Linked DNA regions of Canis lupus familiaris. The protein of the gene in region 3 binds, or shares a complex with, the protein of the main gene of each other region. Links are inferred from orthologs where the notes say so. Each region holds a gene or a part of one and is shown on either strand. Other genes may lie near its edges. The genes, in order: ARPC5L, ARPC5 and ACTR2.

Region 1 (4,444 bases), on a different chromosome or scaffold from region 3:
AGCATTTATCAAGGTGGCCTCCGTGCTCAGCTCACAGAACAGGCTGTGGAGGCTACAGACCACTGCCCCTCGTCTCCTCTAGATCAGAATTTCTCAACCACAGCACTGACATTTTAGACCACACAACTGATGTGAGGTCTGCATGACATGGTGTTTAGCAGCATTGTGATAATCAAAATATCTCCAAACAATGCCAAATTTCTTCAGGGGGAGGAAAAAGTGCAAAAATGTTCAAAACCACTGCTTTGGACAGATCCCTAGTCCTGAGGACCAGAAGGTTCTTCAGTGAGGAAAAAAAGGAATGAATATTTTAAAAATCCCTACAAGGTTTCAGCTCCTGTGCCAGGTGCTTTCACATGTCATCTCAATACTTCAAACAACTCTCATTTGAAAGGCGATGCATTAGAGACTCAGAGAAAGGAAACGACCTGACAAAGTCACAAAGCTAAGCTGTCTAGCTGGCCTTCAAACCCAGGTATACCCAACTCCAGAGCCAAGCTTTTTCTACATACAATCCCCTGCTGTCCCTCTACCCACATACCTCAGCTGCATGTCTAGGACAGTTGCTGTGTGCCCAGCACTGTGAAGCTTCTGCAATGTTGTTGTGATGCTCCCATGGAAGCTGTAAGGCCATGGTTCCCCTCCTTTTCACAGAAAAGGATGCTGAGGTTCAGTTAGGGTATGAGGTCATAGCACGATAGAGTGAAGTCTGCGTGGATACACGGCCCATGTTCTAGTTCATCTGTCTGAATTCCTAGCATGACTCGATTCCCTATACGGCAGTAAGAAAGGCCTTCTCCTCCCTACCTTCCCCCACTCCAACCAATCAATCTCTATCTTCACTCCTCTGGTCTCTATTCTAAGATTCCTAAAAGCCTGTTCTACAGTTTAAGTCAGTGATCTAATATTAAGTCCAATAACTGGTACATGGTAGGGACTCAGTAAATACCAGTTCCTTCTTCCTCCCTCCCTGGGCTCCACAATTGCCAGGATCTCAGTTCTCACCTGCTAACCTCCTTTTCCCCAATCCCAAGAGATATACTGTCCATGGTAACAAGGTTTCTGACACTGTCACTAGTGGAGAAACTGCCACCAACTGGATGTGCTAAACCTAGGCCTCCAAGCAGCCTCAAGGAACCAATCACTAGTCCGAGGGCGTACCAAGAGATGACCTTCAACAAGTCCCTGCAGCACCAGGACCAAGACAGCAGATAACCAGACCTTGTTCTCCCCATCTGTGGATGGTACTGGGCCAGAAGCCTGACGTTGGAGCCTTTTTGGTACTGCCTGCCCATGAGCCAGGTCCTGCACCAGAATGCGGAATCAATCTTCCCTCATGAGGGTCATCCTCATGACCCCATTTCACCAATGGGGTAAATAAGATGATCCTGATAGCACAGAAAATACGAGTTTGAATCCTCACCTTCGAAAATACATTCCTGTTCAAACAAAGAAAGTCTGAAGGTTTTTGTTTCAAAGGCACATTGGCGGAACACTGCAGGACTCCTCCCTAAGGTAGTCCATGGGCCTGACTTCCCAAGCTGAGTCAACTGATTAAACACCCAGAACCTGATTTATACACACAGGAGCCTCCAACCCTGCCCTGGCAAGTGTGGGGGAGGGGTAGGCACTTCCCGTAACACCATTTGAATAAAGAAAAATCCTTCCTGTGAGAGTAAGTCAGTTTCCTGTGCTCAAACGGCTAAGGGACTAAGCAGGCTGTGACAACCACCTCTATTTTTAATCTTGTTTTCTAAATGCTTGCTTTCTGCGGCCACAAGAATAGTCACTTCCAGTCATGAGGCTCTACTTTTACATTTCACTTGATGCTGTCCGGTTTTTCTTAGCTCTAAACTACTAGCTTTTCCCCACTGCTTCCTGCACAAGAAGGCTATTTCGGGGAAGGAGCCAAAAGTCACTTGTTGAACGTGGCTAAGACATCAGGGTCCACAGCCCAAGGTGTTCACAGGAAACAAAACAGGTGAAAAAGAGTGGCATGAAGTTGGAGGGTCAGGCTGATTCTGGGGTGGGAGACGCACAGTCTCCCTAAGGCTGCAGCCCTCGTTCTCCCTTGGGTCCTTCCTACCCCTCGGCCACCCCCCACCTAACTTCGTGGGGTGACTGTGCCCGGGAGCCGTCTAAGGCAGCTCAATTACTCAGCGGGGCTCCCCTCGGCCCCTCCCGCCCATCTGGCGCGAGAACGGCCCCATTTCCTGCAAGGGAGGGATGGAGGGAGGGGGAGCCCGCGGAACGGTCAGTCTGAGGGGACGAGGGGCAGAAGGGGAGTAAAGAGGCCAGGCCTCGCGGAGGAGGGAGGGGCCTGCGGGGCTGCAGGTGCGTCGGGAGTAGCCGGCGGGTCCAGCCGGGTCCAGGGGCCGCGCTCCTGAAGGAGGCTCCGAAGGCCGAGCCCGGACGAGGGGACTGGAGCGGCCGCGTCAGAGGGAAGGGAGGACACATGCACTGAGGGAACCTGAGAGGAGCCGGGTCGGGAGGCACTTGGGAAACGGACCTCAGGGGCCGGGAAGTAGCGGGGTAGGAGGCCGGCCTGAGGGACACCCGGGCCGCTGCGCTGGGTAAGGATATTGCCGCAGAAGGCCATCCACCTCGCCAGGGTCCGGGCCTGGCTCGGCCGCCGCCGCCGCCGCCTCCTCCTGTTCGTCCACGAATTTGTTCTCGTCAAACTCGTCGATGTCCACCCGACGGAAGCGCGAGGACAGCGTGTTCCGGGCCATGGCGGGGACTCGGCGCCCGCTCAGCCGGCTCCGCTCCGGGTCCGACCTCCGATCTACTCCGCTCGGAACCGGCTCAGGATCGGGGGCGGGAAGCGGCCGCCCGGCGCCTCCTCCAGCTCCTCCGCGCGCAGACGCCGCCGCCCGCCCACTTCCGCGCTAGGCCGGAACCGGAAGTGCCGGCGGGCAGGAGGGGCGGAGCCTGCCGGCGGCGGGGCCGGAAGCGCGGGAGAGTCCCCCGGTTAGTTACTACCGGTAGCGCCGCGTCCGGCTCTCAGCTTCGGGAACCTCATTCTTGCCATCCGAGCAGCGGGCACTACGTCCCCACTCGGGCCTAGCGTCGTGGACGCCATAACTGTGCTCGGCTTCCTTTCCGAACCCGAGGAGACCCTGGCCCTGCAAGGGGCCTGCGCGGACTCGGCCGCAGAAGCGGGGTGGAGCCATCACTGCCCAGACTGAGGCGGCTCGGGCACCCCCGCAAGTGTAATGGTCACCTGACCTGGCAGGTGGGGGCGAGGAGAGAAAGAGGACCCTGAGGTCACCATCCTGACTTAAAGGGCGAGGTCCTGGAGGCTAAGAAGTCATTTCCGGCTGGAGAGGCATATCCTGGTGGGAAGCTGAGTCACCTAAGTGTGAGATGGGAAGAGACGGGACCGGGTGCCGAAGGGTAGGGGCAAGAACGACTCTGTGGTTCCAGGATTGGGTGCCTGGGCAGTGGCCTGCGGGATTCTGTTAATAGGCCTTAACCGTGGGATGCTTGGGTGGCTCAGCGGTCGAGCGTCTGCCTTCCGCCCAAGGCCTGATCCCGGAGTACCAGGAACCAGCCCCACACCACATCGGCCCCTGCGTGGAGCCTGCTTCTCCCTCTGCCTATGTCTCTGCCACTCTCTGTGTGTCTCTCATGAATAAATAAATTAAAATCTTTATTAAAAAATCGGCCTTAACCTTAGATTAAATTGGATCTTTGTTTTCATATAATTTTCCTTTTAAAAGATTTTAAGTAATCTCTACCCCCATCATGGGGCTGGAATTTACAACCCTGAGATCAAAAGTCACATGATGTACAAACAGCCAGGTCCCCTGAATTGTACTTTTTTTTTTTTTTTTTTTTTAATGATAGTCACACAGAGAGAGAGAAAGAGGCAGAGACACAGGCAGAGGGAGAAGCAGGCTCCATGCAGGGAGCCCGACGTGGGACTCAATCCCGGGTCTCCAGGATCACACCCTGGGCTGAAGGCAGGCGCCAAACCGCTGCGCCACCCAGGGATCCCGAATTGTACTCTTTTTAATAAAGGCCAAGGCTTAATGAAGTATGACTCGTTTTTATTGTTTCAAATACTTCTCATTGAATTGTGTCTACAGATCAAAAAATTATTGCCAGATTATGATGCTACCTAATTTTGGGTGCTAAAGATACAGACTTAGGCAGCCCTGGTGGTCCAGCGGTTTAGCGCCGCCTTCAGCCCAGGGCGTGATCCTGGAGTCCCGGGATCCAGTCCCACGTTGGGCTCTCTTCATGGAGCCTGCTTCTCCCTCTGCCTATGTCTCTGCCTCTCTCTCTCCCTCTGTGCCTCTCATGAATAAATAAATAAAATCATTTTTTAAAAATTTAAAGATACTCATGCTGGGAAGTAGGTGCTGAATAAAAGTCTCAGGGTCCTGGAAACAGGCAAAGCCCACTTGCCCTTCAGCTCCATTCCTTGAAAGAAATGGAA
Region 2 (3,649 bases), on a different chromosome or scaffold from region 3:
CTAATACTGAGTTATGAGAGACCATTTCAGTGTGTTTAATGGAGGCACTCGAGGAATTGGAGCATAGGCCTGAAGAATAAACAATACTTTTACAAAATAAATAGATTCTATTTGGTTGCTTTTTAAAAATTTTTCTAAATTATCCAAGTATTAAATGTTTATAGAAAACTCAGAGAGAGGCAAAAAGGGGTAATCGTCATCATCCCACTGCCCAGAGATCATCGGTCTTTACTTTCTGGTGTTATATGCTTACAGAGCTTGTCTCTTAGTAGTTGTTTTTTAAATAAAAAGGGAGTTTTGTAATTGGCTTTTTTAATGATATACATGGACATCTTTCCTTGGCAGTAAGTTTATTTCTATAAGCACCTTTTTTAATGGCTGCATATAGATATGCTGCAGTTTACATATAACTAATCTTTTGTCATGTATTTAGATTATTGACCTTTTGTTGTTGTAAACAGTACGGAAATGAACAATTTTGAGTAAACTGTTAATTATTTCCTTTGAATAAATTCCTAGAAGCGAATTGCCGGGTTTTAGAATGCCATTTTTTAAGGCTTTTGTTACAAGTGGCATTGCCAAATTGCCCTTCAGAAAAACATGACTTAACGTTCCCTGCAACAGTCTTTCCGGAAATACTTGAGAACTTACTTACTAATTGTATAAAATGAAGCCCAGAGCTCTGACCCCATTGTCTGTAGGAGCCCTAAGGATCTCTTTAATTTGAGTACTAGTAATAACTTAGGTAAATGCATAATAATTATCTAGGCAACAATGAGAGGAAACATTTCTTTGGTTTTTGAAAGTGGTGAGGGACGTCATTGAGATTTCAATTTTACCACCTTCTGCTTTTATATGGGTGAGTTTTTATCACAGTTTGTGGGTGGGAAGTTATAGCTGTGGTTGTAAGAATATTTTTCTAAATTGGGTAATTGCTTAGTCTTTAAACTGAAGACAGCAATAGGTGGTAGAAACATTCTGTAAACTCCTGATCAGTAGGAATGCCAAAGATAATCACTCTTTCTTGAATAGGAGAAGTGAAATTGTTGAAAGGGTAAATTAAGTGTTCTTAATTAAGTGCTTGGCTTCTTGAGTGGAAAAATAACTTTGCTCTTGGAGCAGCCTTTTATCAGAAAAAAAAATTATAAATGAATATCACTATATCTACCTACTGTAGACAGGAAACTTAAATTTTCTTAAAAAGTTATTTTTATTAACTATTATTGAAGGATGGTTCAAGGTAGAACTGCAATTCATTGTCTTTGTCTTTGGGGTTTTCTCTGAGGTCAAGAAGTAAAATTTAAATGCCGACTTAATAAAGTTGGAAAATTACCATATCTCTTTGTAAGCAGATGCTTTCAGCTCTCCTTCAAACATGTCAAGAATCTGTCGTTCTCCTGAGCTACCATGCTAGCCCAAACCAGCCTATGTTATTGCAGTAACTTCCAGACTGGTCTCCCAGCCTTGTCCCCTGCCCCTCACCAACTTCCCATCAGCTCATCCTCAACATGGCAGCCAGAGTCAGATTATATCACTGTTATCTCATACACAGGTCAGATTCTATCACTGTTCTCAATATCTTCCAACATCTTCTCCTTTCTCTTAATGAAAGCCACAGTCTTCACAGCGGCCTGCGAGGGCTTACGTGGTCTGTCTTCGGCTACCTCCTGACCTGTCCTACTCCTCCACCATGTCGCTGGCTACCAGGGATCTTTCTGCTTTCCTTGAACACCCTGAACATACAGTGACAGCACATGTTCTTTCCTTCTTTCCTCTGAATACTTTTCTCAAATACCCCTAAGGATTCTTCTTTCATGTCCATCAGGTCTTTTTTTTTTTTTTTTTAAGGATTTTATTTATTGATTCATGAGAGACACAGAGAAAGGGAGAGGCAGATACACAGGCAGAGGGAGAAGCAGGCTCCACACAGGAGCCTGATGTGGGACTCGAACCCGGATCCCCAGGATCACACCCTGGGCTGATGGCTGAGCCACCTGGGCTGCACCATGTCCATCAGGTCTTAAGTGTCACCTTTTCCAGAACAACCACTCTACGTGCTTACGTGTGAATGCTCTGTTCTCTGTGTCCCCAGGATCGAGCGGGCAGTATTGTCTTGAAGGTGCTCATCTCTTTTAAAGCTAATGATATCGAGAAGGCAGTTCAGTCCCTGGACAAAAATGGTGTGGATCTCCTCATGAAATATATTTATAAAGGCTTCGAGAGCCCCTCTGACAACAGCAGTGCTGTGTTACTGCAATGGCATGAAAAGGTAAGTTACGACCTAGAGTCCCTCCAACTGGCCACTTATTGATAGAAAGTAACCATGACTGCTCTTCTCACCTAAATCATTATTTTGACTACATCATTTTCTTTACAAATAAATGCATGAAAACGAAAGCTTAGATTTATGTTTCCTAACCCTAGTCTTAAGAGATTTTGGTTTGCAACACATATTTATTCAGTAACGATTACTGTTCATTCAACATGATCTTGAACTTGGAACTAAATCCGAACTTTGAAAATAAGATAAACAATAAAAGTAAAAAATTCGTTGACCATGGCCAGAAGGTTAGAAACACACATGTGCCCAAGGACGGATGAATAGATAATCCTTTTTTTTTTTAAGATTTATTTATTTATTCGTGAGAGACACAGAGAGACACAGGCAGAGGGAGAAGCAGGCTCCATGCAGGGAGCCGGACATGGGACTCGATCCCAGGACTCCGGGATCACGCCCTGGGCAGAAGGCAGGCACTTAACTGCTGAGCCACCCAGGGATCCCCCAGATACTCCATTTTATGCATACACTACATTTTGTTTTTTTGAACAACAGAAAGAAGGAAATTACATACATGGCACAGCACGAATGAACCTTGAAAACGTTGTGCAAGGTGAAGTAAGCCTGTTGCAGAAAGACAAATTACGGTGTGATTCCACTTACAGGAAATACCTCGAAGAGGCAAATTCAGAGAGAGAGAGAGAGAAGATGAGAGGTTATCAGGGACTGGGGGAAGGGAGGATAGAGAGTTCTTACTTAATGGGGACAGTGTTTCTTTTTAGGGTGATGAAAATTATTGGAAACAGTGGTGACTATAATCCTGAGAATATAATGAGTGCCACTGAATTTTACCCTGAAAGATGGTTAAAGGAGCAAATTTCATGCTCTGTATGTTACAGGATTTAAAGAAAAGAAATCAGAGGTGGGGTAAGATCAAGAGTTCTTCAATGTTTTTCTGTTTTCATGCATTTGATTCTGCAGTGTGAGCAGATGGTGGTACACTGTCCCTCAAAAAATAGCTAAGGGAAATTTTTAGCGTTAGGTAAAAAGTTGGTAAGGTCATTTTTAATACCCAACTCTTGGGTAATATGGGTACAGATGTGAACAGTGTAACATTTAAATAGAACCAACCACAGGGAAGGGGTATATTCTAATATCTCTCAGTTCCCAACTCTCAGTCTTTAGAAGCTGTTGTCCGTGTATCTGAGTGAAAACACAAATGGAAGATGAGAATAGGCTGTAGAACTTGTCTTAATCAAGTCACTTGATCACTCATGCACTGTCAAAGAGAGCCTAACTTTTAGGGACAGGGTAACCAGACCTCCCTATTTTCCCAAGATGGCTCCAGTTTATGCCTGTTGTCCCAACATG
Region 3 (3,401 bases):
TTGAGCTTGGAGTCAGGCTTCATGCTTAGTGCAGAGTCTGCTTGTCCCTCTTCTCTGACTCCTCTCTGCCCCCCGGCGCTCGCTCACTCTCTTAAGAAATAAAATCTTTTTAAATAAAGGCTCAGTTATATTTGCAAGAAAGCATGTCATATGCTTTAGAAGTCATTTCATTAAAATTACAGTATTTCACATGTACAGAGGGTTGGTTATCTACTGGCAGTGTGAATAGCAAACATTCAGCCCTGCAACTTCCATGTTGAGTTTTATTTAATTCTCCCAGCAATCCCCCTGAGGCCAACGGATATAAAAGAAACTGAAAGACTGTTTTCCTCATCTGAAACCCCAAACGAGTACCTTTTATATCCTTCCAGATCTGAATTCTATAAGCACATCGTGCTCTCTGGAGGATCTACTATGTACCCTGGGCTGCCATCACGGTTGGAACGAGAACTTAAACAGCTTTACCTAGAACGAGTTTTAAAGGGAGATGTGGAAAAACTTTCCGTAAGTACAGATCAATAATGCAACTGTTAACATACTTTTAAAACCCTGTAAAGTAGCTTGTGAATCTTGACAGCCACCAGAGGGAGCAAGAAGTCTTCCTAAACAAATTATTAATGCAGTCCCATGCAGCCTTGAAGAGCTAGGGAGAAGTCAATGACTGGAGGTAAGCTCTGTTTGAGAACGGTGGTACGGCCTGGTCAGCTCTGTATTCAGTGGCCCGAGGCAGTGAGGTCCAGGGCCAAATGTTCCGGTTCATCTGTAATAGCCTGGAGTCAGCTGCCGCTAAGTGCAGGAAGAACCTGCCGAGAGAAGTCCCTCCCCCAGACCCTTTGCTGTGGGGGACAGGTTTGAAGGCCTCCAGTGGATGCCTGAAACCACAGATAATACTGAATCCCACGTTGCTATGTTTTTTCCTATACAAGAACACCTATGATAAGTAATATATAAATTAGACCCAGTAAGAGATTAACAATAACAATAAAACAGGACAGTTATAACAATATAGTAGAATAAAAGTTATACGAACGTCTCTCTCTCAAAATATCTTACTGTACTGTACTCTTGTGATGATGTGAGAGGATAAAATGCCTACATGATGAGGTGACGTGCGTTATGCAGGCCTTTTGATGTAGTGATATGTCAGAAAGAGATCATCTGCTTCCAGACCATGAGTAACTGAAACCACAGAAAGCAAAGCCACAGATAAGTGGGGACTGCTGTACTATGGAGAGAGAAACACTTCTTTGATGTTTTGGGGTGATTTTTAACTTACTTTTAGGATATGTAATCAGCCTTCGTTGTTACTCTTGGACTGTCTCATTTTTCTGATTTTAGGTTATTTTTTCTGACTGTTTCTTGCATATGTCTTATTTCCCTAATCAGATTGTAAAACATCATATGTCAAATATTTTGAATCCCCATCAGCTATCTTAGCTCCTGAAACAGGCGTTAATTGGTACTTGTGAATGTATAGAATAAAAAATAATGTATGAACTAGTATATAATAGTTGATGGTTATTTGGGATTGATTTTTTTTTTTTTCCTACAAACGCTGAAGTGTGTGAAGTATAGTGTATATACTATGCACTCAGCTGGGAGTCATTGAATTCTGAGTTAATCGCTGAGCTTTGTCCTAGCAACTTTGATCTGCTGTTGTAGATAATGAGATTACATATTACAGGGGACCGTATATATCAGAGATACTAATGTCATATCTTTCGACTGTGACTCAGATTGTGAAAATTGAATTGAATGTGGATTCACATGCATTGGACAAACTAAAAGACTCAAAAGGAGCCTTGTTTAAGTATTTTGCTTATTTGTCTATTTTTGAGTTACACATAGAGTTTAAAATTCGTCTCAGGTGATTATTTCTTGAACTGCTTCTGGGTGCCAAACACTTGTCAGGTGCCCAAACAAGCAAAACAGTAGTAAATAGAAACCAGATCCCCACTCGGATTCTGCGAATGTGTCCGTAGTAAAAGGCACGGTGAAGAAAAGTGAAGTAAGGTCAGGGGCTAGAAAGCTGTAGTGAGTGGTGGTACACATCTTTCTATAGTGTGGTCAGGGCCGGGCTCTGAGGGATTGGTTCTGAGCAGAGACCTGAATAGAGTGAGCAGTGAGCCTCGTAACCCTCAGTGCAAAGACTCTTCCAGGCAGGAACGGCAAGGGCTGTTGGGAATGTGCAGGCATGGCCAGAAGGGAAGGAGTGAGCCCAAGGAGGCTTGGGAGTGAGCTCAGAAAGGTGGTTGGAGGCAAGGCTTGTTCAGCCACAGTGAAGGCTTTAGCTTCACTCCTAATGAGATAGAAAGCCTGGGAAGGATTTTGAGCAGGAAAGTGATAGGGTCTGACTTGTTTTAAAAAGGATCATTGCTGAGTCTGGTGTGGTTAGTAGATTGTTGCTGGAGGGAGGAAGAAAGATTGTAGAAGGCTGAGTTAGGCTCGGAGGGACGGGGGAGATGGTGGAAGTTTATGAAGTGGAGGAGGTATGGAATGGTTGTCTTGACGAGTAGAAGAGAGAAGACCTGTGTCATGGAGTTGCCGAGCTGCACTGAGGGGTTCAAGTGACAGAAGTGATGCAGTTAAACCAAGACGTTGAGTTTCTCACCTGTCGTATACAGTTGCTGGGGGCAGCTGTGAAGTGTAGTCGGTAGTTGGTGTTGGGCCACTTGAGTTTAAGAGGGAGAGAAGGACCAAGTCACTAAGGATAACACCAGGAAGTGGTGGAGAGAGCACACACGCATGCAAGGTTGAGGTATGTCTTTATGTGGTTACATAATCAAGAGTGACTACAGAGTGTAAAACTTGTCCCACTTGTCTTTAATTTTGGTTGCTGTGTTCAATTCTTCCAGCATCCCCGTGGTTTACTTGACCATATTTGGTTGTTTATTTTGAGAACATTTCATTTGAATTTGAGACAATATAAAGTGAGCTTTGCTTATAAGAAAAGAATTTCAATCTTACAGTTACATGGGACCCCTTCCTCTATGATTTAGAGGCATTAGACCTTGAAGAAACCGTAGAAGTCCTCTTACCCAAACTCTTGACATCTGGCTAAGTGATTTGCTCTGGTCGTCACCAGGAGATGGGAAAACCTGCCACAATCAGGACTCTGGTACTTGGGCTCTCAGTAGGCTGATTGTAGAAATCTCTTGGTCAAATCAAGACACTTTTGAGAGTGACGGGGGTGTTGTTAATAGTGTTGGGGCAACGGGTATAAATGAGGGCTGTTCTGAGCGCACTGGGATGGATGTGTGTGATCTCTTAGCTGTGAGCCTTGGGCAATATACAAAAAATGTCACTGTCTCAGATACCGAATCGTGCCGTCCTACTTATGTCACAGGACTTGTGAGAATTCAGCAGGAGAATATATGAAAAAATCATTTTCATAAAGCAGA

Evidence for each region.
Region 1: the proteins of ACTR2 (region 3) and ARPC5L are in contact, whole or in part, in a cryo-EM structure (PDB 6YW6), measured with the Homo sapiens proteins. The link is inferred for Canis lupus familiaris from reciprocal best matches to the Homo sapiens genes ACTR2 and ARPC5L. Residues at the interface, in NP_005713.1 of Homo sapiens: Tyr225, Glu263, Phe266, Gln267, Arg319, Lys322, Gln323, Ser338; in NP_112240.1 of Homo sapiens: Arg11, Arg12, Val13, Asp14, Ile15, Asp16, Glu20.
Region 2: ACTR2 (region 3) and ARPC5 share a complex: the UniProt entries of both Homo sapiens proteins name them as parts of the arp2/3 complex. The link is inferred for Canis lupus familiaris from reciprocal best matches to the Homo sapiens genes ACTR2 and ARPC5.

What each region holds. Positions count from the first base shown.
Region 1 is NC_049230.1:58,232,384-58,236,827, forward strand, and holds the start of ARPC5L (actin-related protein 2/3 complex subunit 5-like protein), read right to left. Parts: upstream 2,896-4,444; 5' UTR 2,733-2,895; coding exon 2,584-2,732; intron 1-2,583. UniProt on the Homo sapiens protein: May function as component of the Arp2/3 complex which is involved in regulation of actin polymerization and together with an activating nucleation-promoting factor (NPF) mediates the formation of branched actin networks.
Region 2 is NC_049228.1:16,860,078-16,863,726, reverse strand, and holds part of ARPC5 (actin-related protein 2/3 complex subunit 5), read left to right. Parts: intron 1-2,092; coding exon 2,093-2,269; intron 2,270-3,649. UniProt on the Homo sapiens protein: Component of the Arp2/3 complex, a multiprotein complex that mediates actin polymerization upon stimulation by nucleation-promoting factor (NPF).
Region 3 is NC_049231.1:66,017,678-66,021,078, forward strand, and holds part of ACTR2 (actin-related protein 2), read left to right. Parts: intron 1-371; coding exon 372-504; intron 505-3,401. UniProt on the Homo sapiens protein: ATP-binding component of the Arp2/3 complex, a multiprotein complex that mediates actin polymerization upon stimulation by nucleation-promoting factor (NPF).